Linked DNA regions of Arabidopsis thaliana. The main gene of each other region encodes a partner of the protein of the gene in region 2 in a complex. Each region holds a gene or a part of one and is shown on either strand. Other genes may lie near its edges.

What was found.
Region 1: TAFII59 (region 2) and TAF11 share a complex: the UniProt entries of both Arabidopsis thaliana proteins name them as parts of the TFIID complex.
Region 3: TAFII59 (region 2) and TAF13 share a complex: the UniProt entries of both Arabidopsis thaliana proteins name them as parts of the TFIID complex.
Region 4: TAFII59 (region 2) and TAFII15 share a complex: the UniProt entries of both Arabidopsis thaliana proteins name them as parts of the TFIID complex.

Annotation. Positions count from the first base shown.
Region 1 is NC_003075.7:10,950,425-10,956,880, reverse strand, and holds TAF11 (TBP-associated factor 11), read right to left. Parts: upstream 3,342-6,456; 5' UTR 3,181-3,341; intron 3,103-3,180; 5' UTR 3,090-3,102; coding exon 2,773-3,089; intron 2,703-2,772; coding exon 2,615-2,702; intron 2,527-2,614; coding exon 2,427-2,526; intron 2,345-2,426; coding exon 2,217-2,344; 3' UTR 1,805-2,216; downstream 1-1,804. Other genes in the region: AT4G20300 (Serine/Threonine-kinase, putative (DUF1639)), read right to left, coding at 63-596, 1,061-1,068; AT4G20290 (uncharacterized protein), read left to right, coding at 1,297-1,722; BAM3 (Leucine-rich receptor-like protein kinase family protein), read right to left, coding at 3,957-4,285, 4,410-6,456. UniProt on the Arabidopsis thaliana protein: TAFs are components of the transcription factor IID (TFIID) complex that is essential for mediating regulation of RNA polymerase transcription.
Region 2 is NC_003070.9:1,402,585-1,411,908, forward strand, and holds TAFII59 (TATA BOX ASSOCIATED FACTOR II 59), read right to left. Parts: upstream 4,948-9,324; 5' UTR 4,845-4,947; exon of another isoform or gene 4,622-4,844; 5' UTR 4,601-4,621; coding exon 4,475-4,600; intron 4,375-4,474; coding exon 4,288-4,374; intron 4,059-4,287; coding exon 3,957-4,058; intron 3,864-3,956; coding exon 3,755-3,863; intron 3,474-3,754; coding exon 3,373-3,473; intron 3,297-3,372; coding exon 3,159-3,296; intron 3,072-3,158; coding exon 2,976-3,071; intron 2,651-2,975; coding exon 2,526-2,650; intron 2,166-2,525; coding exon 2,033-2,165; intron 1,743-2,032; coding exon 1,617-1,742; intron 1,529-1,616; coding exon 1,022-1,528; 3' UTR 1,012-1,021; intron 857-1,011; 3' UTR 501-856; downstream 1-500. Other genes in the region: AT1G04945 (HIT-type Zinc finger family protein), read left to right, coding at 1-67; AT1G04960 (golgin family A protein (DUF1664)), read right to left, coding at 5,437-5,616, 5,874-5,930, 6,033-6,110, 6,213-6,245, 6,347-6,421, 6,768-6,857, 6,944-7,045, 7,172-7,239 and 2 more; AT1G04970 (lipid-binding serum glycoprotein family protein), read left to right, coding at 8,632-9,039. UniProt on the Arabidopsis thaliana protein: TAFs are components of the transcription factor IID (TFIID) complex that is essential for mediating regulation of RNA polymerase transcription. Required for proper pollen function. May stabilize the interaction of TFIID with selected promoters.
Region 3 is NC_003070.9:577,295-584,124, reverse strand, and holds TAF13 (TBP-associated factor 13), read right to left. Parts: upstream 3,501-6,830; 5' UTR 3,380-3,500; intron 3,056-3,379; 5' UTR 3,042-3,055; coding exon 2,939-3,041; intron 2,848-2,938; coding exon 2,810-2,847; intron 2,629-2,809; coding exon 2,569-2,628; intron 2,482-2,568; coding exon 2,407-2,481; intron 2,311-2,406; coding exon 2,206-2,310; 3' UTR 1,815-2,205; downstream 1-1,814. Other genes in the region: AT1G02670 (P-loop containing nucleoside triphosphate hydrolases superfamily protein), read right to left, coding at 3,826-3,898, 3,995-4,075, 4,158-4,246, 4,326-4,478, 4,600-4,704, 4,813-4,929, 5,108-5,230, 5,334-5,403 and 6 more. UniProt on the Arabidopsis thaliana protein: TAFs are components of the transcription factor IID (TFIID) complex that is essential for mediating regulation of RNA polymerase transcription. May be involved in polycomb repressive complex 2 (PRC2) mediated repression.
Region 4 is NC_003075.7:15,351,402-15,359,270, reverse strand, and holds TAFII15 (TBP-associated factor II 15), read left to right. Parts: upstream 1-2,839; 5' UTR 2,840-3,080; intron 3,081-3,100; exon of another isoform or gene 3,101-3,467; intron 3,468-3,530; exon of another isoform or gene 3,531-3,547; 5' UTR 3,548-3,566; coding exon 3,567-3,659; intron 3,660-3,755; coding exon 3,756-3,820; intron 3,821-4,221; coding exon 4,222-4,284; intron 4,285-4,469; coding exon 4,470-4,521; intron 4,522-4,615; coding exon 4,616-4,666; intron 4,667-4,967; coding exon 4,968-5,048; 3' UTR 5,049-5,224; coding exon of another isoform or gene 5,225-5,300; 3' UTR 5,301-5,351; coding exon of another isoform or gene 5,352-5,432; 3' UTR 5,433-5,475; downstream 5,476-7,869. Other genes in the region: AT4G31715 (uncharacterized protein), read right to left, coding at 5,225-5,300, 5,352-5,432, 5,569-5,612; GLR2.4 (glutamate receptor 2.4), read right to left, coding at 6,309-6,740, 6,819-7,225, 7,309-7,599, 7,754-7,869. UniProt on the Arabidopsis thaliana protein: TAFs are components of the transcription factor IID (TFIID) complex that is essential for mediating regulation of RNA polymerase transcription.

The DNA.
Region 1 (6,456 bases), on a different chromosome or scaffold from region 2:
AGGTAAGTAAATATATCAAAATATGGAAATTTAATTGAATGAAGAAAGATTTGAGGCTAAACCTGGAAGGGAAGAAAGATTCCTTGCCGATAACGAAACCGTTTCTAGGGTTTGTACTCCGGCCCGAGAAAATCGGCGGAGCTGGTGGTGGAGGTGGCATAGAAGGATTCATCGATCTTCTTTGCGGTTTGTTTGATTGTATCTTACCTTGACCTGAAGAAGACGAAGAATCATCGGCGGTGGTTGTGATGGTGGTGGTGGATCGGATCTCAGCTCTAGAGGCTCTCGATCGTTTTCGTTGTCCCCACTGTAACAGTACATCACCGCCGCGACGGCTAGGACTAGGATCTTGTTGTTGTTGCTGCTGTTGAGTGGATCTGAATCGGAATCCTTTGGGGACTCCGTCTAGAGATGAGGTGTTGTTGGTGGTGGTTGTGCATGATCCGCCGTTAAATCCTCTTCCGGCGATTGAGGTTGTGGTAATGACGGTGGTGGTGGTGGTGTCTTCGTTTGTTGCTCTTGATGGTGATGGTCGTAAGTAAGGCTTCTTACCTCCATTTGTGAGAGGAAGACAATCTGGGCTTACTCTCTGATACCTAATCAAAAACACAAAAATAATTAGATCAAAATCATGAAAACGAAAAGGAAGATTGAACTGTGAAAAATTGTAAAAATGTGTCTGTGTTTTATGCGAGATTTTAGAGTTAATCTTCTCAAAATTCTTCTGAGTTTTAATTGAAAATAACCCAAATCAGAATTTGACGGAGAAGCTCTGAGATTATTTTGTTTTTGTTCAAAAGGCGAAAAACAATTTGGTTATTGGATCAAATTGAGATTAGTTAAAAACTGGTGAATCCAAAGAAGACGAAATCTGGAGGAGATCAAAAGTTTTTGACATTAGAGTCAATCTCAAGTTTTTTTACAATCAAACTCAGATCCATAGAAACTAATTAGAAATCCAGAAAACAACAGAAAACCAAATCAGTGGAAAATAGAAAAACTCAGAGAAGATGGAAAAAACACAGAGAGAAGAAGAACGGAGAAGAAGAAGAAGAGAAACCTCATCATTATACCCAAGTGAAAACCAGATTCGAATTATGTAATGGTTACGTTTCCGATTCCGATCTGTGATAGTTTTTTTTTTGTATCAGGAATCTATGATTCGTTAAATTTCTTCTCCAGAACAAATTTCGATTCCGATTAAACGAGGATAAACGAAACACAGCTTCCTCGTGTGATTCTAAGTTTCTCGTACCGATCACCAGCGAATCAAAAGGATTATATTGAATAAAGAGAATGAAAAAAGAAGGGAAAAATATTTGTGTAGAGAGAAAAGAGAGAGGAGGAGAAGAGAAGAAACGGAGGCGCTCTGCGTTAAACAGTGAGGAGGATGAAGAAGAAGAAGAAGAAGAAGGAAGGCGGAAGGGAAGGAGAAAGATAGTGGGTGCGTTATTGTGTCAAAACTTCTTTTATTCTTTTTATTTTTCCAATCCAGTCCTTTTATTTTCTGTAGACTTTCAATTCGCAACCCACTTTGTTTTCTTCTCTTCACGTAATAGTTCGTTTCGAGATCGGCCCATTATCAGGCCCACTAGATCCTCTTTCGCCGGAACTTGTGTGATTCAAAACGTCTCCGTACCAATTTTGACAGTAGACCGAATTCTGATCGCGACGGTTTTCAATCACGCCGAAGAAATACACAATTTGAATTTGAACTTATAAACCCAGTTCTTGTAATGTTCGACCAAAAACGAATCAATACTAAAACCAATTTTTAGGTATAGCCAAATTTAACCAAATAAACCGGATTACAAATGATTTTATTTGATTTCGAATTCTATAAAACCGGAAATGAAACCGAATCCAACCTAGTAAACCGGATTGCCACTTTTAGGCCATGTGGTCTGTAGTCAAAGATTGATCTTGTATTGAAAATGAAAACTGGAAACGTAAACCAAATAAAAACCAAACCGTAAGACTGATAGCCATTTCAGGGTCTGTATCCAAAGATTGATTTACTACAAAAGTTGTCACACAAAGTTAAGAACATCAAAGAACAATATGATCCACCAGGGAAGCCAAAGAAGTTCTCCTTTATGATGAGATTGATAGGCAAATCTCGCCAGCTTAAACCTGCCGTAGACCCTTATCCTTGAGCAGCATTGGTAAATTCCCCAGTCTTAGGCTGATATAAGTTCTCTTTTGGCTCTTGTTGACTAGCGGAAAAGGCGTGGAACTGATCTTTTAGGCACTTTTCCTTCGAGCTTTAGTCTCCGATAAGACTCCCTGATATGACAAGGTCTGATAGGTCCTGATTCTTTCCTTTCCGCCATAACAACTCGAGCTACAGATAATGTATTGAGGTTCAGTAAATGAGCTTTGTTGGCACATAAACAAAATCATTGGAAATTTTTGCACTGGCTTACCTGTTTCAACGAGTTCACCAACGAACATCTTTGCAATACCACACGCAACAATAATCATTGGCATACCAATCTTCTGACTACCAGTGACACCTATCAATAACTGCATTAACATAAAAGCTAAATGGTTCATATTTGCAATGAAACAAAATTAAGAATGTTGATAACCACAAATCATATAACATATATACCTTCTTCATCTGTGGTCTTTGAAGTGCAGATCTCCTAAAAGATTCATATCTACTCATCTGATCCTCAGTGAATTGCGATAATATGGTTCTGAAGAATTCAACAAACAATCAATCATCAAAGAAACATGAAGAACAATCAAAATTCTACAAAGACTCACTGCATTTTGGCCATTTTAGCAGGATCAGAACTAGTTGGATATTTAGTAAGCTCAACATCCATATTCTCTTCCTCTTCTTCATCATCTTCATCTTTATCTTTGTTCTTAGCTTCAGTAACAACAACAGAGGTTTTAGCTTTCTTCATCGGACGGCGAACATCCACAGGTCTCTCATCTTCATCTTGAGTCTGGTCGATTTCAATTCGTCCGTCTTCACTACCATCACCTCCTCCTCCTCCGCCAACGGGTGATTCCGGTGGCGATTCCTCTTGCTCTTCCTCAATCGCTGCTTCAAACGGATCCTTTGAATGCTTCATTCCTGATTAAAACCTAAACGAAAAAATCACATAATTGAGATCTCAAATTAGGGTTTAGAACGAAGCAAATTGCTACGGATCATTGACGAACCTTGAAGGTGAAACTCAGATCGAATTTCAAGAGACACGAATCTCTAGACCGTTGTTAACAACAACTGGGAGCTCCACAATCTTCCAGGCGGAGAGGAAAATTCATCGACTGTGTTCAATTTCAAGCTTTTCTATAGGAGTGTAGCGACTGTTATAAGTCGGTTTAGTCCAATCAATTGGTGGATCAAAAGAAAAGATCTGAACCGGTTTTTGTTAAACCAACCCAAAAAGTTTCGAGAACCACATCATTGGATTTGGGCTGGGCTCAGTTCAAAACCACTGAATAACTAACTGGTTTTTTTTTTTGGAATACAATGTTGGGATAACGATTTACAACTAGCCAAATGTTATAAATCGAGCTAGACAACAAAATTAAAAATATCAATGATAGTGAATTGGATACTAAAAAGTAAAAACACTCAAATGCTAACTATTTCTATAGATATTGGATAATCATATGTTAAATCAAATGCTTGAGTGATTTCAACATTTTTCTTTGGTCATCATGATTTTTATAATTCCAAATGAATCAAAGAACAGTTATCTATTTTTTCAAATCTTTCACATAATTCATAATTTTCTAGCAAATGTTATTTAGTTTTGCTTGATACTTTATGATAGGAAGATATAATGCTAACCCTTTTTTTCCTCCTCAATTTCAATATAAACTCATATCACCACCAAACCATCATTACAAATTCTAAAAACAAAACTCTATGAAACACATAAAACAGAAAAATATATATTTAGTCTCTTATATATATAACATCACTGCATTTAGAAAGTATTAGGCTGTTTAGCCTGAGAGATCATCTGGACAACCTCTCTCATGGTCGGTCTCTCAACACTATGTTCTTGCACACATAGCATTGCCACAAAGAACAGTTCCATGGCCTCTGCTAATGGAATATTGCTCAATCTCTGGTCAATGATCTTCACCACACCTTGTCTGTTACAGTTTGTTTGGATCTTTGACCATTGCACAATGTCTATCCCTTCTTCCCCAAAATTATCTACTGGTTTTCGACCCGTAATCAGCTCCAATAACACTACTCCGAAGCTGTACACATCGCTCTTCTCGTCTATTCTCAGTGTATATGCATATTCTGCATTCAAGAAACGGATAAAATGGGCTAAGATCAATCATACGTTTTAACTAGAAGTACTGAAATCCTAAGTTTGAATGTTACGTGTGATACAAGAAAGTAGTATTAGGAATCAGTCATGTACCTGGAGCGATGTAGCCGTACGAGCCAGCGATCGAGGACATGCACTCGGAAGCTCCATTGTCTTGCATCATAAACTTAGCAAGCCCAAAATCAGCAACATGAGCTTCAAACTCAGGACCCAACAAGATGTTGTTTGACTTCACATCACGGTGGATTATAAGTGGCGAGCAATCATGGTGAAGATAACACAACCCCTTAGCCGCTTCCAACGCTATTTGCAACCGTGTTTCCCATTTCAAAAACACTCCAGCTTTCCCGTGCAAGACTTCTCCGAGGCTACCATTAGGCATATACTCGTAAACAAGGAGATTCACGTCTTTGTTTGAACAAAAAGCGAGCAATCTCACTATGTTTCTGTGTCTGATTCTACCTAATGTCTGAATCTCTGCGGCTAAACCGTTGTCATGAGATGATCCTTTGGTTATGGTTAAGAGCTTCTTGACTGCAACTTCTTCTCCGTTTGGCATTACCCCTTTGTAGACAATCCCTCGTCCGCCTTTCCCAATCACATGGTTCTCTTTAACACATTCTAATATGTGTTCGCTTCTGAAACCGAGCTTCTGAAACCCTATAAGCTTCCATAAATTCGGGTTGTTCTTTCTCATTCTCCTATTCTTGACCACAGCTAAAACGACGAACACCAAGAAAAACCCTAGTAGGCCTAACCCGAAGAACAACTTGAATTTTGCGGAGATTTCACCTCGGGATCTTGCGTTGTTCTGGTTAAGTAGCTGAGATTGAGATTGGTTTTGGGAACCGTTGCAAGGGTTTGAAGAAAATCCACAGAGAAAAGGGTTTCCAAGGAATGACGTGTTGTTGAAGTAAGAGAATTGCCCTGAAGTTGGTACTGAACCGGAGAAGTTGTTGTGTGAGAAATCTGCTGATGTTAAACTCTTCATGTATCCGAGTTCGTTGGGAAGGCTTTGGTTAAAGGAATTCCAAGAAACATTCAGATAGTTTAGAATCCGAATCTGCGATATCTGAACCGGAATCTGACCGGAAATCTGGTTGTGACTCAAATCTAAATATGTGAGTGACATGCAATCACCAAACTCAGGAGGAAACTTGCCTGAGAAGTTGTTTCTGCTCATGTCAATCTTGAGAAGACTCTTCAAACTTCCGATTTCGCCAGGGATCTGTCCCGATAACCGGTTTGCACCGAGAAGAAGAATCTGAAGGCTTCTGAGGTTTCTGATTGAACCAGGAATCGGTCCGGATAACCTGTTGTTGGACAGATTGATCTGAGTAAGGCTCGAAAACTGCGCATTTCCCGCCTCTTCTTCGGGGATTTCTCCAGTCAAAAAGTTGTTTTGAAGCTCAAGAAGCGAAAGATTCGGCAAATAAATCAAACCCTTTGGCAACTTACTTGTCAGAAAGTTCTGTCCGAGACGGAATCTCCATAGCGGTTCACATTGGCCAAGATCTTCAGGGAGAGGACCGAACAAGAAGTTGTTGAAGAGAATGAGAATCTTTAGTCTTCTTCCGAAACAGAGTGACTCAGGGATCAAACCTGTGAGTTTATTGGTAGACAAATCGATCTCGATCAAGTTCCCGTTTGATCCGAGTTTCGAAGGAATCTTTCCGGTGAAATTGTTGTGCCAAAGCTTGAGTATTTGCAGATCAGGAAGCTCAGATACGAACTCAGGGATCTCGCCGTGTAGTCTGTTGAAGAAGAGGTTAAACAACTGAAGCTTTTGAAGTCCAGATAGCTCTAGAGGAATCTCTCCTTCAAGAAAGTTGTTGGAGAGATCAAGAGTCTTGAGGCTTGTCATGTTCCCTAACTCTCGAGGAACAGAGCCTGTAAGCTCATTGGTCTGAAGAAACAGAACCTCCAAGTTCTTGAGATTCCCCAATTCTGCAGGAATTGATCCTTTCAAGCTGCAATTAGCTAAATCCAAATGAACAAGATTGATCAATCTCCCGAAATCTGCAGGTATCCCACCGCGGTAATCGTTGTAGTAACCTAAGTAAAGCTGTACCAAAGTCGTGATGTTCGCTAGCTCGTTAGGGATTCTCCCACGGAGATCATTACCAGATAAAGAAAGAAA
Region 2 (9,324 bases):
CCAAAATTTAGATACTGATTTCATCGCTGATGGACTAGATTTAGAAGAAGGGGAAATCGTCGAATGATGGTCATAGTCTTGTTCTGGCAAAAAGGAATTACTCTCTGTGAAACATTTTTGAGGATTATGTTCATGCCTGAAGCTCTCTTGTTCGAGCACATTAGCTATACTTGGTAATAGCCAAAGCTTTTACTGGAATGCAATAAGCCACAGCACTGATGGTCATAAGTTTTCGGTCTGGGCTTTGATCAACAGGTATTTCTTTTGTAGTAAACCAGATTACTAGGCTGTTCTGTGGTTTGTAGCAAACTTGATTGTTTACATACAAGATAGTTAACTTAAGAATGTCTCCGAAACTTTTGTTCAGTCTTATCCTCCTATAGATCCTCATAAATTAATCTTGTTGTCTTTCAGATCTTCTTTATAGTCAATGTAATACAGACCAAACCTTGTAGTTTGCCCAAAAGTTTTCTAGCAACGGACCAGAAGGATCAACAATAGATATAATCTATGAACGGATATTATATGTAAAGAGTAAATAAGCAAGAGAGCATACATGTAAACAACAATATCAAAAATTGCAATCTAGATCATACAGATTTGAAGAGAAATTATTTCATGGATTACATTTGAGAGTAAACAAATAAGTCCACTACGGAATCATTAAAATTCTCTTAATATATACATTGCAACCGGTTCAATTCAACTCAACCCACTCTGCAGGCTCCTAAGGACTTTGAAATCCCTCAAGCTTAAAAAGAAGAACTAAAGAGTTGACCTGAGAACAATGGCACGGATCTAAATGAGTTTATGTATGCCAACCAGACGGCGCTTTAATCTCTCCAAGCCTCCTTCTCTGCTTGAAAATCATCAAACATCTATTTCATTAGCATTAATGTATTGAGTATCATTATTCTTTTGATTTCACATATTTATTGCATTCACGACTGGAACCATGAGTTTTATATCGATGAGGTAAATATCAGGAAGTTGGGGAATAGAATAGCTCACCTCTTATTGGTTAGAGGAATACTGACATCTCTGTAGAAGGGATAAAGGGAAGAATCCTATCACCATAGAGTTCGTGCAGTTTCACCAATAGCCGTCCGGAATCAAGATCATCTTTCCATATCTGATCAAGGATTGCTTTCATGGTAATAGCCCGACTCCTGCCGCTTTCTTTCACCTTTCCATTTCTGCTTTCAGATTCGTTAGCATCAGAGGCTTGTTCTGATGAGGATGGCTGAACAGAGTTTTGTGGCGGATTGTCATTTTCCACTGGATTATCTACTTGCATTGGAGCTGAGCCAGATTGATCTTGTGAATGTACACCATCTGGCCCATCCATGGTTATCAATCTTTTCTGCGGTGATTGGTTTTCTGAAGAATCTACACTCAGCTTCCGCTTGTGGGGATCAGTACTGATTATCTTTCCCTTTCCCTTTCCCTTATGGAGAAAACTTGGTGACGGAGATGGTAAAGGTGGGAAGATTTTAAGCCGGCCATGTATACACAAGCCTGCAGCACGCTGAAAAGAAAAAGGGGGCAAGTCCATCTAAGGATTGTCCACTGAGAATTCTACAAAGATGAAATTTTACAAGGATGTGTTTACTAACCAGCAAGGCTCCATATACACGCCAAGCTTCGTAGATCTTCATCTGATTTTTTTGCTTCTCAGCATTCAATTCAGGTTCGAGAAGACTTAGATATGGTTCGAGATTTGATAGAATAAGAAGGCGTACCTACACAATATATGACATTCAGATGACAACAGATAACAATGCAGGATAGCTGTGCTAAAGTTTTTGGTAGCAGGGGTATCTGATTCACTGGAGTAGCCGTTTAAGACGATAAAAGTCCTAATTTCCCAATAAAATGAATAAGCAAACCCGGAAAAATGGTATGGGCAAATCAAATTGTATCTCAGATTCTGAAAAGTCCCTAGATTGAAGGACAAGCTGGGTAACATTATTTCTCGGTGATATCTGAAATAGCATGCACAAACTTTCTGAAAGGTCAAGGAATGACTTACAACAGTGTGCCCCAAAGCTGCTAATCCTTGAATCGCACCATAGTGCTGAGTCAAAGCCTTCTTTGGGTCCAGCAGTGCATTGACTAAAGTTCTGGTAAGACGAGACTGAAGAGTTATATAAACGGTTCCATACCTGCAAGATTTTATTAAAATCACAGGATTTCAGATGCTAAAAGAATATAAAGGTGAGATATGTAAAATAAAAGTGCGAGACAATGTACCCTTTTAAATAATGAAGAAGACTATAGCAAGTTATTACTAATTGTTGTTAATATAGATCTAACCATTTGTTTTTCAGCTCGAGCAAAAAAGAAGTAGATATCAATAGTAAAGAGATCAAACAAGATAAACTTAGCAGAACATCTATGGATAATCATCTCATGATATTTCCTTATAGAATTTCATTATTAGCTCCAGTAAGAAATCATGTATAGATCCCCACAATCAACCAAAACAAACACAGAGTTCATGACATGAAAGGGAAATAATGAACCTTTTACATATCAGTGAAACCAGATTTGCCGCAAAATCTCTGAGTTCCCAGTGGTTGTCAGCAAATCTATTTCCAAGCTTTCTTGATACAAGGCATGTTACAACAGATGGCATCAACTGGTGCAGCTGGCACCAAAAGAAAAAGTTCACTCAGCTTCATGGTTATGAAACATTGCTCAAACAACCAACTCATTATCCCAAGGCTGGTTTACATAATCTCAATACAGATCAAAGGCAAAACTTGTTGTTATTTCAAGCAGACTGAGAGTACTTAAGCACTCGAGCTTGCAGACCTCGGACAAACACTACCACTAACCATTTGATACCCATTATATAGAATATGTCTAATATAGAACTTGAAGAAACCCAAATCAGAAGCCTAAAGAAAATGGAGCTACATGATTCTACAATTTTTTAGATAGTGGCAAAAGATAATCCAGAGAAAACTTACATAAGGTTCTATGTGTATGTGAGGATTCTGTAGAAGACTTCTAACAATGTGCATTAGATTAAACAGGAGTCGGAAGTCATTTAAGCCATTTGAAACCTGCACAAGTGGAGAAAATTAAAACTGCAAAAACTTAACGTGGGTCTTATTGGTTCACACTAGTTCCTCGGTGGTGCATAATGTTACCTCATCAGCAATGAAATTTGTAAAATATGGAACTAGAGGATGAAGTCCTGAGTCTGAGGCCAAGCTCACTAATGCTTCTTTATACAGAGGAGGATTTGACTTGCTCATTGCAAGTTCAGCAATCTTTTGGAAGTATAACTGTGAAGAGAGAACAACAGATAAGTCCTATGTATGTAAGGATATTACCCTATGATATTTAGACTGCACCATATACCTGAAGTTCCCTAGATAGTACATGCTTCACTGGTAGCCTAACGTCAATAAGAGGTCCGTCTTTTTGTTCATGGATTTTGGTTTCTGCAGGTGCTCTAATGACTAGAGACAACACAAACAAGTGAAAAATATAGTCAAGATAGGAAAGAACAAGGATTTCTTGCTCATGCGGATCCGCAAAACAATAATACAGATGGATCTGAAAATATGTATTTTGATCTTTCAGTAACATCAGTAAGCTCACCACTTAACACGGGGTAACTGTAGAAAGAGGTTTATACACCTCTGAAACGTCATTGTACATACTAATATTTGTTTCATGTTGAAAAATTCATATAATGACTTTACAACTCTAGCCCAGGGCATAAGATTGAGAGACAAACCTTCTAAAGGAGCATTTTCTGGTATAGCTGGTTGCACTCCTTCAATAGCCAGCCAGTGACAAACAATTTCAGTATCAAGGGGAGCTTTTGGCAGCGGGGCTTCGATCACCTAGAATCATGACATTTCTTGAAAACATAAGGAACCCAAAATGAAGAATTTAACTGAAACAAAAAAAACATGCCAGCTTTTCCAACATCTTACATCTTTGAAATCCACTTCTCTGTCATCAGTGTAGAACAAATCGCGATGTCCAATAGCTTTTCTAAAACGAAATGGCCCTCCTGAGGCAAATCCATATATCGGCTGCAATAGATATAATCACTCTCAAAAAGATGCCTTTGATTCAGTTGACTACAATAGTGAAATATGTGAAAGCAATGTGTAACAGATGGTGTTATTCATATGCACCAGTAAAGCCAAACCTCAAAACTAGAAACCATATATCTTTGTCACTCAACTACAAAAACCAGGAAGCTTACACAACCAAAACTCTAGATAATGGGAAGTAAGAAATAGGTCATCGAGTTTGTACCTCAACGTTCCTTAAGTTGAGAGCACCATCTACATCCGAAGCTGTTAAAGTCGTTCTCTTTGAGTGACGCATGCATTTGATAGCTTCCTGAAAGGACATCCAAAGAGAAGGTACAGAAAGATCAATATGCTGATACCAGAAAACTCACCTCAAGAACACAAAGACATGATTAGAAAAAGAAGGTAACCTGCATGATCTCTCGGACACGATACTCAACATCAGGAGCAAGCATAAGAGCAGCTTCAGGTAACAAGTTGGTAATCCCAATACTTTGAGCTATTACCTCAACCGTTTCCTTAGGTACAATGCTCATCTTCCCCAGGCTGCTTATCCACTGTGGCGATACAAGGACACAGAAGAAACATCAACAGTGGTTATATTAAGTAAGAAAAAAGCACAAAAAATCATTGGAACCTCCCAATTAAACCATTGTTGGGCATACACAATGAATCGCAATTCAACAGCCCAGAAGACAAAGGCTGCTTCCATACTCCGTAAAAGTGTGAAATTTGTCCCGTTAACCAAAATTCGAGCACAAAAATAAGTTGGAAATTTACATGAACCGGAGAGGGATTTGCGTTGAGCGACGAAGATCCAGACACTTCACTTGAGAGGAAAGAAGCTCCGATTAACCGATGCCAAGCCTCTTGTTAATATAAGAAGCCGGGCCGGGTTTTTTAATTGCTGTCAAATTCACCCGGTTGGACTATTTCGGGTTAAATTAAATTTGGGCTGTCTCTATATCTATTTTGGGCCAAGGCCCAATAAGAGCGAAATATTTTATTTCTCTGCCAACTAAAGACAATTAATCCTACGAGAAAGGACGAAACAAATGTTTCAAGACAGTAGTTCTGTCTTCTGTGGTAGTTCTTTCTATTTTCTACACAAACAAAATTGATCCAAACACAAAAGGAAAAAGGAGCACAAAAGTCCAAATCAATGAAGACATCAACATACGTGAAAGCCTTAATCACACTCTTTCTTTACAAACATCAAGACCAAATATAATTAGGGGCAAACCAAATTGTTGGTGGATGCAATAACATATGTAGATTTTTCTTCTTTTTACATGAAAAAATAATTGCCAGTCCCAGTATCAGAATTTGGGACGAATACAAGCAATTTCTTTGTATATCAACCAAAATAATATTAGGATAGTCCTGAAACATCCCGTACCCAAGATATTCCACCTGGAAACGCTCTATGAACTCTGCTTCTTCCCGCTGCAGTGACTTTTGTTTTTTCCCCCATCACCATAATTTCTTTCGCCATAACCGGCTTGTGTATTACATTTGCATCCTCTTTGCCTTCCGTCAGAAACCGCAGACCCTGGAGTTTCCATAGTTTTATAGTTTTAGAAAGCCAAAGAAACATCATGACATGAAATCATCAAATAACAGCTACTACCACAAGTATTTTCAGGTTCCAATTTTTATTCGAATAAGCTTGATGAGAGATTGCCTTGAATATATGCAAATTCAAGATCAACCATCTCGTTGAATTTTTTCACTATAAGCAACTTTTTTGCGTCAACAGAATGGAAATGCACATTTATATGATGGAAAAAGGTATAGTAGCATTCTTACAGAGAGAGAAGTATTAGTGGATGGTTTTCCATCAATAGGTAATCTCTCACCAACATCCTAAACCACAAAGCCAGAAACAAGATTTTTTTCATTAAGGCCTATAACTACGTGAAAAATAAGTAAGAAAACGTTTCACTTAATTTGTAAGTTAACACTCACCTGAAATACTTTAGTACTTGTGCTGTCTTTAACGCCTGCAACTTGACATAGATGCCATAGTCCAGAGAGGGTCACATCCTAAAATTTTAACAAAAAAAATATCTGTTTGAGATCAATTAGTTTTAAGAAAATTGATAGCGTGAAGTGGTTTGTAGTATCTAATGGTTGTAGACAAATTACTTGTTTGCTTTCAAGACTTTCAATCTTCCCTTCCTGTAAAAATTTCATATAAGAGAGTAAAGATATATTAGCCCCTTTAAAATATGCATATTAGAGGGCAATGATGCATATTAGAGGGCAATGATGAGACTTACTATTCCAGAAATCATTTCATTAAGTTGCTTAAAATCAAACCCAATTTGCGAAATGCTTGATCTCATCTCAGTAACCTGAATTGAAGCAAGATTCCATGTGAGCATTAGCATTAAAATGAATATCAAAGAAAGGCATAGATGGAGTAAATCGCAGATATGAGAATCAAGCTGTAATTTGAAAGAAACAAAGGACTCTACTGTACATGTGAAGAAAAACAGTTCAGGGCCAAAGAGATAGGACGTTAATAAATAAATACTCTACAATCTTTTGGAATTCCTAAATGTGTTTTAAATTCTTCTAAGATGTTAAATGTACAAGAGGAGATCTCTCTCAGACGAATGTATAAGTATCCTAATCTTAAGTCTAAGGAAAAAATAAGGCATCAATACAAGAAAGTGAGAAATAAAACGGGTTCCTTACATCACTTAAGATCATTTTAGATGTCTCATTCTGCTCTTCCACCTTCCAATCCAAGGTCGCTAGCTTCTGAGAAAGATGTTTCCTTGTTGACTGCGTAAACAAATGCACTAGGTCAAAAAATCATAATGAAATAGAATATATAACAGAGGAAGGTCTCAAAAAAATTATTTGTTCACCGCTAATGTGTCTGACAAATCGTCTAGTTGTTTCGAAACAGAGGCAACCGCATCAGCCATATTTTTCTTTGTCACAAACATTGCATCTGAAAACGACCAGCCCTGCAATGTGGGTAAACCTTAGAAGTCAATGATATATAGTTTACCGGTAAACCACATGTTACAAAACTATAACAAAAGACACATGAAACATAGAGAAAAATAGACAGATTTTAAAGAGATAAACACCTTCCACCACATGTAGCAGTACCCCATAGCTCCAACGGCAGCCGCTGGAACCAGGTAAGATGCATAGCCTACAAGAGCAAAAGCAAAGATTATATCATTCTCTGTTTCTCATAAAAAATAAACATATTTGAAACATTTCCTACATTATCAAAAGTAGTACATAAATATTTTATGAGAAACTAAGACTTGTACATACCACTGGAGTTTGAATCTCCATTAAAGATGGTAACTGGATTGGTCATAGTTAGTTCTTTGATCTCGTTTGCAAGCTGTCGAATCTGGTTATCAAGAGACAACAAAAATTATGTCACTAAGAGGGGAGTCCAGTATTGGCCTAGTGATAAAGAGTGATGAATTATTTTCTATTCCGATTGTTTATGTTGGATCGATGAGAAAAATAAGCTTACAGAGCAAAAGAAAATGAAATACCTGAGCAGCAAGGAGTGCACCGTCATACTTAAAAGGAGTGCTTTCAACTCCTTGAGCACCATTGAGTAAGTCTTGAAGTTGGGCTATTAGGTCAGACAACCTCCCATGTCTCAATACGATCGAACCAGATACACCTTGGACATGATGAAAACAGAACCAAGTGTCATTAAAGGTCATTAAATGGAACATCCAAGCTAGAATAACTAAATCATTCTTGCTACATCCAAGCTGTATTACCATCAAAACTACACTAACGATTGAAGATTAGAAGTTCTGGACCATTTTAGCAAAGTGATCAATCAATTTGCCAAGATAAATTCAAACCCTAACTCTTCATAAAACAATTCCCTAGATTAGAGAGTCAAAGCAATACGAATCGAATTTGATTACAACAAGCAAAGATAATAAAACAAGCATCAAAGTGAGAAAGAGACCTGCGCCGAGTAGGATAAGGACCTTAGAGGTCTGAACACCGGCTTGCATCGCCATGAATTCCGGTTACAAGCTGAAAAAGATTCTCGATTAATTCTCTGTTCCGTGTCGCCAAGCCACCGCGAGAGACCAATTATGACACCCTTTTGCCCTTTAGACCTCAATTTTAGCTTTGATTTACCACAAAGATAAATACTTTTCAAAACTTATGTTCTTACCCCCGAAGCTTCCAATTTTAATCGAACTATTGTCCTTAGACACATATTAGAATATTTAACACCACTTGAGCTTATATACATATCAAACGTTAATATGTACAGTATATACAATTACATATGTATTTATACTTTTATTGCCCTATAGACCTCAGCTTTAGCTTTGATTGACCAGAAACATTAATATTTTAACAATTTATGTATTCACCCCAAACACTTCCTTTTGAATCAGATTACCCCAGAAGGCAATGCAAATCGAATGACTAAGGTTATTTTAGACATTTCTCAATAATCCAAACCATTACGCAACTTCACTGTATTAACCTGTTTTCTTCATCGAAGAAGATAGAGAGACCAAAACAAAAAAAGCTTTGAATATCCGCCATGGATGTTGGACGATGCTTTCTCTTTCTTCTATTACCAAGTTTCTTCTTCTTGCCTTCACAAACGCAGAGCACCGATTCATTCACATCGGTTCTCGTATCTCAAAACGGACTCGATTTCGTCAAAAATCTTCTAGTTAACAAAGCTATCGCGTCGATTATACCTCTCCAGATTCCCAGAATTGAGAAATCTATGAAAATCCCGTTCCTTGGAGGAATCGATGTTGTTGTCTCGAATCTCACGATATACGAGCTTGACGTTGCGTCATCTTATGTTAAGCTTGGTGAGACAGGTGTTGTCATCGTCGCTTCAGGGACGACTTGTAATTTGAGTATGAATTGGCATTATTCTTACAGTACTTGGCTTCCTCCTATTGAAATATCTGATCAGGGTATTGCATCTGTTCAGGTAATTATGATCAATTTTACTAATTCTTAGTTTTGATCATCTCAATCTTGTGAATCAATGGAAAGACAAGATTTTTCTTGCGAATCACAAATTTCTGTTCTGTTTTGTATCCTTATGTTTCGTGATTGTTATATGTCTTAGAACATAGTTGCATATGGGAATCAGAGGTGACTGTTGCTCTCTGTTTACCATTTCCATGTGTTGGTTTTAGTTGTTGCTGTGATCTGCTCATTTTTATATCTGTTTTACAAAGGGAATTTGATGAGTGCTGATTCTCGCCTTCTC
Region 3 (6,830 bases), 820 kb from region 2:
CGTCTACAAAAGGTATAGCGCGATTTTAGTAATATAGTGATTACTAATGCTGACCTGTCTTTTGACTTTAATAAAGAGGCTTTATTATATAAATTAGCCCAATATCGGCCCAACGTTTGCTCAGTAAAGTAATGTTTTATGAATCTGATTACAATAAATTGGGCCTGGTATTTAAGCATCTTAAACGCTATTTCATGACAAACATAAGCATCAACGGACAAGAACTTAACCACCTCTACATCAAGAACTTCATTAGCCAAGTCTCTCGGACAAATCTCCCTCTTCGGTTTCCACGAACCAAATCCCAACAACTCACAAGCCATACCCTTCAAGCTAACCCTTGACCTCTCACCATAACTAAATGGAAAATTTACCTTTACCAGATCACGAACGTCAACTTTCTTAACCACTACTCTAACTAGCCCACCGAGCTTAGCGACAGTTTTAGCAATACCTATTCCTACAAAAACAAACCTCTCATCACGAAATAGATCACTAAGGCATTCGCCGAGATTGGTATTTTGTTTCATATGAAGTAGTTGGAGTATGAGGCATTTGGTTTTGATGCATAGTTGAAGAGTCGAGATTTTTGCATCATCTTGAGGATTGGTCTTGGAGTTTAGAGAGATGATCACCGTTGGTTCATCTCGGTAGGTTAATCGTATGGCGAGGATCCAATTCTTGGCTATGGAAACTTCATTTGTCACCGTTGTTTCTATGAGTTTTTCACGAAATGGAATCAACTGTGTAATTGTTACCATCGCTCAGTATGATTTTTCACTTACGCATATGTCCATGCATAATATAAACGGTTGGTATTATCAAAGTCTTCAATTTTCGAAAAGAACTCGATTCAATGAATTGGTCAAATGTGCTATTAATATGACCAATTTCCGATTGAAAACATTGAACATAAAATATTTAACGAGATCTTTAATCTGCAAACCAAATTTAACATTCCCCACAAACACAAATAGAATTTAGTAGATATACTTCATTCTCCTATTTTCTCATTAATGAATTCAAATACACTCACTAATTACAGAAACAAAAATGAAGAAAAAGTTAAAAGGAATTAAATTAAATTATAATACAAAAACCAAAAATGACCAAGAAATTAAAACCTGAATGATGATGACGTAAACTTGATAGATGATACGAACCATAATTAATAAGATCATTAATGCATCACTATATATCCCTTTGGCTTTGCAACGATCAGTGTAAACCTGATTTTGCATCTTCATTATTGCATAGAACCTCAGCTTTCTCATCAATCATATCGTCTCCTCCTTCCACATCACTATAACATTCATCTTCTTCCTCATCAATATCATCATCATATAAGGACATGGCTGATCCATATCCCGAGATTCCTGATGATGATGAAGATGAAGCCGCCGTGAAAACCTCCATAGTCTCTGATAAACGACCCTCGGAATCATCATCATCTTCATTATCATTATCACCATCGTCTCCTCCCATTTCTGTCGCTGGCAGAGGAGGAGGAGCCGGAGGGAGAACAATTGTGTTAGTAAAAGTTGACGATGGCATTATCGTAATTTCGAAACGGAGTTTACGTACGGACTTAACGACTCGCCGCCAGAACCTGGTGTTGAAGGGTTTTCTCCCCGGCGGCGACGAAGCATGAACATGACGACGGAGAACATGTGCATCCCACGTGATGACTTTTTCTTCTTCATGCTCGTGTTGTTTATTTGCTCTATCTCTAATTGATCACAATGATTTTCTTTAGTTGGTAATTGATCACCATTCTTATTTATTGTTTCCATGGTAAAATAATGAATCAAAATATCAGAAAGATGACGAAAAATTTAGAGAAAAACAAAAGTCTTATAATGATGACTAATTTTATAATTATTGCGGTAATTAATTTAATGAAAGAAACAAAAATCGGGTGGTTATTCTAAATTTTTAGGGTTTCGAAATTCCTGACTCAAGAAAAATTAAAGGTCGTCCGTAGATATATACGGGATGCTAGATAATGGGCTTTCTTCTAATGGGCCTACATTTAATATGAGTCGGCCTTGTGCAAGATTTTTTTTCACCTTTTTTAAGTCAACACACTTTTTTTTTGCTACTGTGCTTCGAATTCTGATTACAACCTAAAACGCTGTCCCTAGTCCGGCATCCATGAGGTTCCTCTTACCTAGCATTTGTTCCTCCCGTTGAGGAAAAGCAAGATCAATCAACGAGTTCCTTTTCGTCGACATCAAAAGCTTTGCGTGCTTGTTTCAGCTCTTCCTGCATCGCCAACAGTTCTCTACAGCGGTTCAGTTTTGGCAAATCCTGCATAAATCAAAGACGCCAAAGTTTCGGATATAGAATACAAAACCATAAACCATCTCAATCATCGATTGTGTACTTTTTAAAAAGAATTTTTACCTTGCGGATAAGATACAAGAAATCATCAACTAGAAGTCTTCCTCGCTTTGAACCAATTTCTTGAGCTTTATGTGTCTGCCATTGAAACATCACTTGTTAGCTAATATCTCTCCGCTTGTAATGTAAAACATGAATCATTCACAAAAAGAAAAAGCTCACTACCAAATCTGTGACGTATTCCACAACAATGTCTTCTACAAGCGCCACAGACTCTGGAAGAGGCTAAATACAGAGGAGTTTTGGATCAGTTTCAGGTGGTAAAACACTAAAAGATGTTACACGACCAAGAACCCTTTAAAGCAAAGATTCTCTACCTAATTCGTTACTTGTATTGGAATGAAACTATATCTACAAATACGGTTCATATGGCAACAAAATAGTAATGAAGAGGATAGCGGCTTACGTTTTGCTCGTCGCCAAATCCATACATCATATGCTGCACTGAAAAATCAACAAAAGCACCAAAACCATTGTTACCAGAAGAATCACAAAATGAAGAATACAAAAATCTGGTTTTAACTAAAGACTTTACATTCTTTTTGAAAGAGAGTTTTGCGCTTTTCCTGTGGCTGAGAAGTTCCCGCAGCTTTCGATTTAGACGATGATGACGCCGCCGCTGCTGGTGTGTTACTCATCTCTTCTTCTTCTTCTGATAATCAAAATCCAGGAGAGCAAAATAATAGAAAAATAAGTGAAATTCCTCTACCGACAAAATCCAATTGAGTCAAATACTAACCCTAGGTGAAAATTTTCAAAAAAGAAAAAACAGTGTAATCTCAACTAGAAAATGAAATTCCGAGCCTATATTCTAGATTTCTACCGCAATCAAAACCAGAGAGCTACCGGAAAGTTGTATTCCGGTACAGTACAACAACCAACGGAGTTAAATCGAATAAGGTTCTTTATCCAAATATTTGTCGTCATGGAAAAGGAATGAAAATTGAAAAGGGAATAGTGAGAGCAGAGAGCTCACCGTAGATTGATCGACGGGAGTAGCAGAGGTGGTCGTTGCAAAATCGGCGATGAAGATGATGAGAACGAAGAAACGGGGACTTGTTCACTGATCTCTCTCTCTCTCGTAGAAGAAGCACATTGCATTACATACGAAGTAATTGGGCTTAATAAATAGGCCCATTTATATTAAACCAGCCCATAATCTAAACCAGAAACCCGTACACTAGTCGACCGACATTGTAACTAAGTTCTCACGGTATGGCTCAAACCGGCCATGGCCTCATGCTCAATATTCTTCGGGAGAAGGAAAAGTTTGTGATCCGATTCATATACAATCTATCCGGTGCTCATCATATTACACAAGTATGTATCAAATCTTTTAGCTTGAGCCTAATTTTGTCCTGTCAAGACTCTTTTTTCTATCTATACAAATTTTCTATCATGTTCTTCATCTACAAGATTTGGTTATGCGAACAGGGACTTGATATCGTCTTCTCCCAGCTTTTGTACAACGGCCTCTTCAGAGTCACCTAACGTACTGTAACAAAGCAAATATGTCTTCATATAGGCTTCATACAGTTGACAATAAGAAACCAGCAAAGTTGAGAGAAGCGTATCGTTTAAAATAAGAAACCTTTCAAACAAATCTTCCTTCTTCTTTTGAAGCGTTAGTATCTTTTCCTCTACTGTTTTCTCCATTATGAATCTTACAACCCTGTCACACAACCAAATGTTTCTTCTTTCTTCCCCCACCAAAACAACATACAGTATATTGAAGGACAACTCAAAAATATAACCTGACAGGCTTGCACTGTCCGATCCTATGTATTCTGTCCTGTGCTTGCCTCTCAACCGCTGGGTTCCACCACGGGTCCATCATGAACACCTATACAATCAAACACCCGAATGTCAGTGAATAAAACATGTTCTAGGAGCAACTGTTTTATAAGTTGTACACTTCTTACATGCGAAGCGGCTGTTAGATTTAGAGCAACCCCTCCAGCTTGCAAGCTCATTAATAAAACTCTGCAATCTGGCTCTTCTTTAAAATTTTTGAGTGCAGCATCTTTAGCTGCCTTGGACATGCTTCCCACCAGTTGAACACAGCTAACCCCAGACTGCGTTGTACAAAATGAGTCAATCATTTTTATTCAATGTCTCATTATGATTAAAGAGAATGTTAAAGGAGCACAGATATAGTAGTAGTAGCATTTTGTAGTTGGTTGCGCTTGAAATTACCTTCCCCAAGGCGTAACTTATCAGGTCCAAGAATGATGTGAACTGGCTGAATACTATTGCTTTGGCAGACCAATCTCTTTCAACCATGAACCTGATTTCTTCTCTCTGCATACAAATTTTTTTTATCACCAAATGGTTAGATAAAGCCTCCAATCTCCAAAGAAACTTTAAGCGTGGGAGAGACAGAAGCTGTAGATCTCAAAGGGCACATACCAAAGCCTCAATCTTTGTACTTGTTTTAAAATCATCGAGGTTTATCCGATTTAAAATGCTAGAGGCTCTAAATCCTTTAAGCTTTGTCTTGCTTGCCTGATGTTCACTAGAAGTCACCTTCAAAGTAAGAGAACCAAAGACATATTAACCGAACAAGTTAAGTCCAACATTAGTCATCCGATGATTCTTTAAGAAAGTGTAAAATGGTGGCAGCTATTTCCAGAAGATACAGTTACTGAGAAACAAGAGTCGAGATAGTATGAAATAGCAACAATATATCGACTGGAACACTTACAAAGTAGTCCTTGGAAGGGTCATGGCCGAAACCACATTCTTTCTCATTTTTGTTCGCATCAAGCAAGTTAGCGTTAGCGCCACTAGGACTAGAATAACTCACCAGGTATGGATGATCAACAGCCTGAAAAAATTGCAAGAAAATGCATCAGAAATCTATATACCTATATCATCCAAAACATGCACTGGCTTGTAAATAGAACAACAAAACTATCGATACCACTCACTTGTCTCAGTCGGATAAGAAGACCAAATATATGTGCATAGTTATTCATCAATGTCCCAGCCTGAATATACCTGCAGAAACAAATGTACATGTCAGATTTAATAATAAAATTCAGTTTACACAAAGCATGGAGCAGAAACCAGTGAAAATCCATAGAACAAAAGTAACTTACCCATCAAATGTTGTCTTGCTAACTTTGTATAGTGATTCATAGAAATCAGCTTCTACTACACTTAGTGCATCTCGCCTCAGAGAGATCTAAATTTATATGTAGAGATCAAGCTCGGAAGCAACTATACCAAGCTTCATTTATATCAGACAAGGGAGAGAAAGGAACATACGATTCTAGAAGGAAGAGCAAGGTCAGCTGCCCGGCCCAATTTAGTACGTCTTAGTAGAATGTCCTTTAGAACATTTTGTTTAAGGAATATACAGGCTCTGTTTCTCCGTTTGTCCACATTCTAGCAAGATTGGAAAATATAAAAACCAAAGAACATAATGGTGATCCTGCTTTTAAAATGTTTTTAATAATGGCACCTCAAAGTTACCTCTTTCCACCAAGAGATGTGTTGATTTGCATTATGAGGACAGCTGGGACATTTTCGATGCGCACTGCAGTCACCGCCAAAGCCCAAAGGCAATGGACAAAGGAAATGAAACAGCAAAGATTGTTATGAACTATCAAACAGAAGTATGGGAAAGGAGAAAGTAACCAGGAATTGAGAGTGGTAAGATGTTACCTCCGATCAAGAACTTCACAGTCACATTTCTTGCAAAAGTAATATGAGTATGGCGAAACGCGAAGGAAGCGTATCTGGGACAAACAATCAGCAATGTTGAGATATCATTACGTGCTATAGAAAAAGTTGAGGAAAGAGTAACTAACCAGGGAGTAGAGCTCGTCAACATCATTCTGGAGAGGGGTACCACTCAGAGCCCATCTGTAGGTCGCCTCCAAAGCAAAAACAGCTTTGGCAGTGCGACTACTTCTGTTTTTGATATCATGAGCCTGATATGAAGACAAACGGGAATTATATCAAATTTGCAGTGAGCTTCCCCTGAAGGATAAAAGATTCACAAAAAGCAAATTTGCAGTGAGCTTCCCCTGCTGTGGTTTACTGTACAATAAATCTCACAGTCCCCTTTCCTTACATGCTTGAAAATGGAAAAGAAGAAGAACCAGCAGGTCTTGGTACTGACCTCATCGACGATGATACGATTCCACTTAATAGAGTGTAAAGGAGACATTGTTTCGTCCACTCCTTCATCCTTCCTATATTCATTCTCAACTATGGGAGATGTTGTCAAAACAAAGTCGTAATTCATTAACTTTTGAACATTCTTGTCTCTCTTCGGCCCATGGTATTGAAGAACCCTGGTGCTTCCCGGGGATGTCAACCGAGAAATCTCATCTAACCACTGAGAAAGAGCAACAGGAGGAACAAGCACAAGGGTGTGCCCAACTGCTTCCCTAGATTTGGCTCTGTCAACTTCCCGT
Region 4 (7,869 bases), on a different chromosome or scaffold from region 2:
CAGCTTCCACTTCGCACCTTTTAGCAGTAGAGGGTACGTTTTCTTTCTGCACGGACAATCACCGCTCGTCGTTTTGTACTATTCGTCCCTACTCCTCTCATACATATAAATGGAAACGTTCAAAAATCTGAATGGCTTAAACAAATTAAGTTCAAAAATTGTTAGACGCTACCTAAACATCAAATATCCTATTGAATATGTATTCTTAGTACTAGTGAAAATCGTGTAAGTGAAGTGTGGGCAAGAGAAAGATGAACTTGTTAGTTGGAAATTAATCGATAGATGTTAGACCGTACCGTGGTGATCGAGGTTACAGACCATGAACCTATGATTTCTCATATCAAACTTACGAGTTCATTACTTCAAAGTACATTTAGTGATGGCTAATTAAAGGGCATTTAGAAAACTAATACGATTTTTTGAAACATGTAACTTTGGTATTATTTAAGCAATATCCATTACGCTCGTTGTTTGCTTTACTAAAGGGCAAGTTTCGTATGAGGCAAGGCCACTTGGATATGAAATACTCCACAAACTTTATTCTACGCATATCAAAATTTTAATTATAAATATAGCATGCCAATCTTTTTCCTAAAACAAATCTCCAATATTTAATTGCAATTTCGGTGGATAATCGGATTCCACTTTTGTACTTGAACGGCCAGTTCTTTCTTACTAGTAACTTTCATTCATGTTTTTTAATGGTTAAATACATTTCAACTATAACAGAAATTGTTGGCAAGAGGCGACCAATCACCAACGAAAGCTCGTGTAGATTACATCCACATAAATAATTATTACATGTATTGCTGTTTATATTCCAACTTTATCATAAGTAATCTAGTTAATTGAAGATTAGCGACAAAAATATGATATTAAATTGGATGGGAGAAAACATATATTTAATTAAGCAAACGAACATATTCGCAACTTGAGTTTTTGGGGGGTGTTTGGTGACGTACAAACTTCTCTTCTTCTAGATAAGGAACTATGCACTACAAATTTTCTTAATTATGCACCACAAATTTTCTAAAGTACGATTAAAAAAGAGGAAATCTAAAGCCAAAGTAGTAATCAACCCTACAACAACACATGAGTCACGACTTTCAGTTAACTACAATTATACAAATATTACTTGATTAAGTGGTGTTATCTTAACTAGTGTAATGTATGTTTGAAATTAATAAAGTCCATCTACAAACCATTTTATCAAAACAAAAAATCCATCAAGCAAATTGAAGCCACTCTTATAGCCGACTAACCGTACCTACAAATTTTCTGTTTCAAACTTATGCATATCTATATGGGTGCTTATGATACTTCCTATTAAATTTAATAAAATTAGTAAAAATTTCCCTACCATATATCATATTATTATTTTTTCGATCCAAGAAAGTTACTTTTTAAAATAGTTTTCTATTTTGTGACACTTCTAAAATATTATAAGTGTATAGCCATTTTTCCCCAAACAAGGAATAGTCTATCAGTCTATACAGTATACACACGATTTATTTGCAAAGAACCTACATACACAATTTCTCTTCTACCATGTTAGATTTTTAGTACTTGTTTTACTAGATTATGTATTTTTGTTTGTCTATCGGTCTTTTAATTTTCACTTGCTGGAGGTAAATAATGAAGGAAGTAGTTAAAAATTGAGATAACATAGTTGTGTAGAAATTAGAATACAGTGCAGAACTTAAAAGTATGGTTACGATCACATTGACAACAGTCGATATTCCATTGAGATCACATGAACATTGCTTCGTTAGAAATGCTCGTCGATCGCCTGAAGTAAACCGATTTGATTGGCCACCATGTTTTGCCTCTTCCTGATTTCATTGATATATTTTATTTTTCTTTACTATTTTAAACAACAAAAAAATTTAGAATCCGTATTCCAAAAGTAAATTAAATTTTTGCATACAATTTTTCTTTTTCTTTAAAATATCTAGGTTTTAATATAATATTCCATAATTTGATGAAAAGAATTAAAGAGAAAGTTCAAATCAATCCATATAGCTTGTCCTAGCCTATAGCCAAAAATATTCCTATGCCGCGATTGAACAACCGTTTTTTAAAAATCGTCAAATTAAATCAAACCTTTTTCCATGACAATGAGACTTGGATATAGTTTACATTAGATTCTGATTGGCCCCTTTGATATAACTAGGTAAACTAGCTTCTTGAATAAACTGTCTCTTATTTTGGTTTTATACAAAAAAAAAAAAGCTTTTGGAAAATGATTTAAATGTAAATACATAATACGTAGCGTCTAAGAAGCATATTTGAGAAAATATGGATTTATTTATCTGGTATTTATCCATTAATTTACCTACAAATGGAATCCACCATTAACCAAAAACAAACAAACAAATGGAATCCCGTGAAATAAAGTATCATCATATACATATCTCTCTTTTATGTTTTTATGGAGAGAATTAGTCCAATCCTTCTTCACTGAATTTACCACCTGCTTCTCGTAGAATATATAAAACTACCCTTAAGTCTTTTTCTAATGACTATGAGTTGACAAATGAGAAAAACAAAAACTGCTTTTGTTGGTCATTAAATATTCCGTCTAGATGGAGTTAGTGCTTTCATTGTCATATTCTTTGTCTCCCATCAAATTAAAGCTCACTATACAGCAGATTGTACAACACTATACACTAAAGTTACATTTTTGAGATTTTATTGATTGACAATTTCGTTTCGATATTCTTAGATACACTAAACTCAAATATTGATTTTATGGGAAGAGAATAAAAAATGGATTGTGAAAAAGGAAAAAAAAAAACCTAAATTTGGGCCATATGTGAAGAATACTTCCTTAAGTTTGGGCCATAGTTTAAATCAATAGGCCCATTAGTCTATCTAACGATTCTTTCTCAACTCTTAAAAATCTGACCGGCGGAGATGGCTCTGAGTTGGACCAGTCGGAGGATTAGGGTTTCAACGGAGACTCACTAGTCGATCTCCGATCCTTTCTTCTACCCGCCCGAAATCCGTCGAAACTTCTCTTCTTTACCATTGATTTGCCTCGTCTCAGCTCAATTCTCTTCCGTTGCTGCTTCGTTTAGGTTCGCATTATCGCTTACTTTATTGAATTTTTCCTCTATGTCTCTGGTTTCAATTTCAGCTCAATTTTGTCTTTTTTTCGGTTGAATTTTCTCTTGGGTGGTATCGAATTTTGCTCATGAATGCTGTTTCTTGATGAATCAGAGCCCTCTTAGTTTACTTCACGTCGTTCAATTCAAAACTTGGTGTGGTCTTTTGCAACACAAATCAGGAATAGTTCGTTACTTAGAAACAATAATGTCATACGAGAAGACAAATCTGGAACAGAGAATTAGTAAATTGAGCTGGAAAGTTTCAGTAGTCAAAATTCTCGTAAAACTTATTTTGGTATAATTGTGTCATGAGTCATGACATTCTTTCTTAGGTTTCGTACAAGTTTCTAATTTGAGGTAGATACTAGTTCAGAGGTTCTTTATTAATGTTTGATTTTGAAAACCTTTCTTTACTTACAGTTGTTGCTTCGCTTCAGTACTCTGGTGGTGGGAGAGATGAATCACGGCCAACAATCTGGTGAGGCAAAGCATGAAGATGATGCTGCTCTTACAGAGTTCCTTGCTTCTCTGATGGATTATACTCCTACTGTATACTTTCCTTTGTACTAGTTACAACTTTTTCTCGGCTCTACATGACTGAAATTTGGGTATTGATTGAGTTCTGGATTTTTATTTTTCTTTCAGATTCCTGATGATTTAGTGGAGCACTACTTGGCTAAGAGTGGATTTCAGTGCCCCGACGTACGATTGTAGGTATTTCCGACAAGTTATATCTGATACTTACAATGAAAGAGCAGATAAGTTGATATTGAATGGAATCATTGTTGGGTCTTAGAATGGGTGACCAGTAGTTAGATCAATGGCTTGGTTTAAATCATTTTGGATTAAGGTTTTGCCCTGTTTAACATTCCTGTAAAATGGTATGATAAAGAAGTCTATGTTGGACTAGCACTGAAAAAGATTGGCAATTTGAATGTAAACTTCAGAGTTCAGTTTGAATGCGTAGAATAATGAGGGGATTCTTCTCTTTCTATCAAATTGAGTGCTGAATATTGGTATATTTTAGTTTTTGAGTTTTTCACTCCTGTCATAATCTTTTCCTGTATCTATTCTTGCCAATATTCTGTTTTTTTGTTTACTTGTTTGACAGGATAAGGCTAGTTGCTGTGGCTACACAAAAGTTTGTTGCAGATGTTGCCAGTGACGCCCTTCAGTAAGTTTTCATTCTCTTCACAACGAATTATCATACCCTTTTTCATATTTGACTTGTAATTGAGAAAGAGAAGACACTGCCCATTCTGAGTAGATGAGATGAAAAGATGTCTACGCTAGATTTTCCCAGAAGCTAAAAGCATTGATATAAGCTCCTGAATAATAAAAATTGTCAATTATATACAGGCATTGCAAGGCTAGACCAGCACCAGTTGTGAAAGACAAAAAACAGCAAAAGGTAACATCTGACTCCCTTTTGTTTTTTTTCCCTCTGCAAGACTGCAACAAATATGTTTTGGATGATGACATGAATATTAATGTTTCCTTAACAGGATAAGCGTTTGGTATTGACAATGGAAGATCTTTCAAAAGCTTTGCGTGAGGTAAATGCTTCTTCCTCTAAGTTCATGCTTCTGGTATTGTTGTCCCTCAGACCTCCAATGTATGAGAAGAAAATGTAGATGTCTCTTGTTTTTTTTTACTTAAGCTGCAAATTACTCTAAATACACATGGCATGAAACTAATTCAGTATCACAGAATCAACATAAAATGCTTAGAAACATGTTTTAGAGTTAGTGGTTATAATATTGTGTATTGCAGTAGTGTAGGTAGATAGGTAAGGTTTTACAGTCTCGTCTTAACTAGTAGTGGGAAGCTAACTCGTGAGTAAACTCGGTTTGGCAGTATGGTGTGAACGTGAAGCATCCAGAATATTTTGCTGATAGCCCTTCGACTGGAATGGACCCTGCAACAAGGGACGAATAGAAACCAGGAATTCCTCAAAATCTTTGCCTAGTAAGGACGGTCATGTGTCTCAGATCCCTGATTCTCTGTTGTGTTTCAGTTAAAAACAAAACTCACTTGTCTTGCTAGTCCTCAATTACTACATTACATGTATATTCGTTTGTTGTTTGTTCTCTGGTGATTTTTGGGGTTCTACATCACTTATCCACCATTCTTGCAAGTCTCCAAGTCGTGAAAATAAGATAAGTATCCATCCTTGTGATTAACTGGATACTGTAGGATTGAAAAACCACAAAGTATATTTTCCATCTAGCAATGATGAACCTAAGTGCTTCTGATCTAACTTGAAACATTGCCACACTCTGTTGTATACCTTTAGACAATCCCCCTTTGTAACCGCGGCATCTCAATAATAAAGTTACTTTTTGGAATTTAGCAATTGAAAAAAGCTGTTCTGTTTTGTTTTTTCACTTTCTCATGTCCGAATATTCTTTACCTAGAAATACATGAAAGAAGACAACAATCTGAAAAATCTAGTAACCTTTCGTCAGCTTTTACAACGCTACATTGAAGACAAGAACACATTGGTTTTTTCATCACAAAGAAAGTTGAAGATTCTTGAGTTTTTTTCCTCCTGAATTGTTTGAAATGGTGAATCCTCCACTTCAGTCTCCGACCAATCCGCATTTCTTCCAGCCACTACTTCCCGGTTTCGAGTGTCACCTCGTACACACTCTCTCTGTCTCTCTCTGTTTCTGTCTTTCTTTCAGAGTCGGTTTTGTTTTAAATGTTTTGAGGCTGAAAAGTTAAGGTAAGTTTCAAGTTTTTTATATGACATAGGTACTTGTGGTTTCTGAGCACATTCTCCTTATATGTATACAGGACCATAAACGTTGTCTGGAATGATTCTATATGCCGACTTTTTGTCTGTAATATGTAAAGTCTCTGTCCAATTTCTTCTCGCATGACTTAGCTAAAATATCTTGGTTTTACAGGAGAAAGAGTTTCTATACTAATACAAAATGGTTGAAGAAGCATGCAAAGTTGGTGGATTTTAAGACTTCTGAGTTCCATTAATTTGATACTATTGACGACAATCTTCAAAGTCGGTTTTGGCTCGCCGGGAAAAGATGCACATATGGTCAAGTCTCGTTGTAACTTGGAAAAGGTTAGGAGTTAGTAAGTGTGTGTTTAAAGGATTGCACTAGAATCAGTGAGCTGTGATGATACAAAGGTAACTTTGGCTACATGAAGAAGATAAAGAAAAAAGTTCAAAGATTTTTAGCCGTTAATGGGATCAATGTCCTCTTCCCTGGGTTGTATTAACACCTGAGGACATGTTGATCTCACACGGCTAATGTATGATTCACCATCACTTTCCATGAACTTTAACCACATCTCCTTCATTCGTTTGCCACGGTAGAATTCGTCATTCAAAATAATCCGATTCTGAATCAAGAAACAGATCACAAACTTCAACAAGGCAAGGGTACAGACAGTGGCTGCAGCAACAAATAGAAGCAAGAAACTATCGAGGCTGAGCTTTCGGAAGGAGACTGTTGGGTTTGGGTCAGGGTTGTTCATTGGATCAGGACAAGTTTTGTCTATGTTCTTGAACCACGCAGTTTCAAGTTGAGTTGCTTTGTTAGACTCTGCCACTTTCAAAATGGCCCTTGATACATCGGCTACTAGAGGCGATCCAATTGGGAAGACCTACAGAATCGAAACTAGTTATATGCATCATTAAAAGGAAGGATTGTATGCAAGCCAAAGAGAAGTGATGGAACTTACAAAGCCAAACCCGTCAACATCAAATGGCACCTCCACCATTTTATATTTCTTGCAATATTGTCCAAGAAAAACTCTCACGTATGGTACTTCCATGAAGGCTGCAGAAACACCACCCTTTGATGGTCCCTTGTTCAGAAGTTCTTCACATTTCTCTGGAGAGGTAAATGGCACGAGTCTGGACTCAGGGAAGCCCGATTCTCTCAGTTTCCCCAGTACGAATGAATCTCTCTGATATGCCACAGGTCCTCCTTTTGCAAGCACGTTCTTGATGCTCGTTTCAGTTGGATTGAGCTGTTGTGTTGTGAGAAGCGATGACAAACTGGCAGTATAACTCTGAGTCAGCACAAGAACAATGAAGTACCAAGTGATAACCACAACCCTTGCTGTAAAGCTCATTACTCTTTCTCCTGTAAAAACATAACTTTTGAGAGTAAACTTATGGAAACAGACTCGTTGCCTACAGAGAGTACTAGAGGGAAAGCGAACATACTGGGTGCAAAAACCATGATGGAGAAGGCAAACCAGAACATAGTGCTGATCTGGTACTGGGGAGGTCCAGTGAATTCAGAGTTCACCCTATGTTCAAGAATCCACACAACAAAACCAACAACAAAAAAAGAACCAAGGGTCATCCCCCAAAGCCCCGGTGTCAAAGGTTTAAAAAAGATCAAACTGCTTCTTGCCACGTTATCTTTTAGAGGGACAACCATCCCCACGCCCGATGTTGTGTATGGCAAAGTGAAATCAACATAGGATGATCTATTTGCCAATATCGTCGTATCTCCCACCACAGCATCAAATACCTGCCTCATAGACAAGGAAGGTGTTGTTTCAGAGCAATGGTTGAGTTATGATAAGAAGAAAATGAAAAAAATTGAGGAACAGTCACAGGCTCACCCCGAGATAGACTTAGTACGATAAGTCGTTGAAGTTACCGTTAGTTTTTCCATCATCATCTCCAAAAGGAATGAATCTGTGGGAGACATCATACGGCATTGCTTGAATTACAGCCTCAAAGAAGTCGATGCAAAACCCTGTTACTATGGTTTCA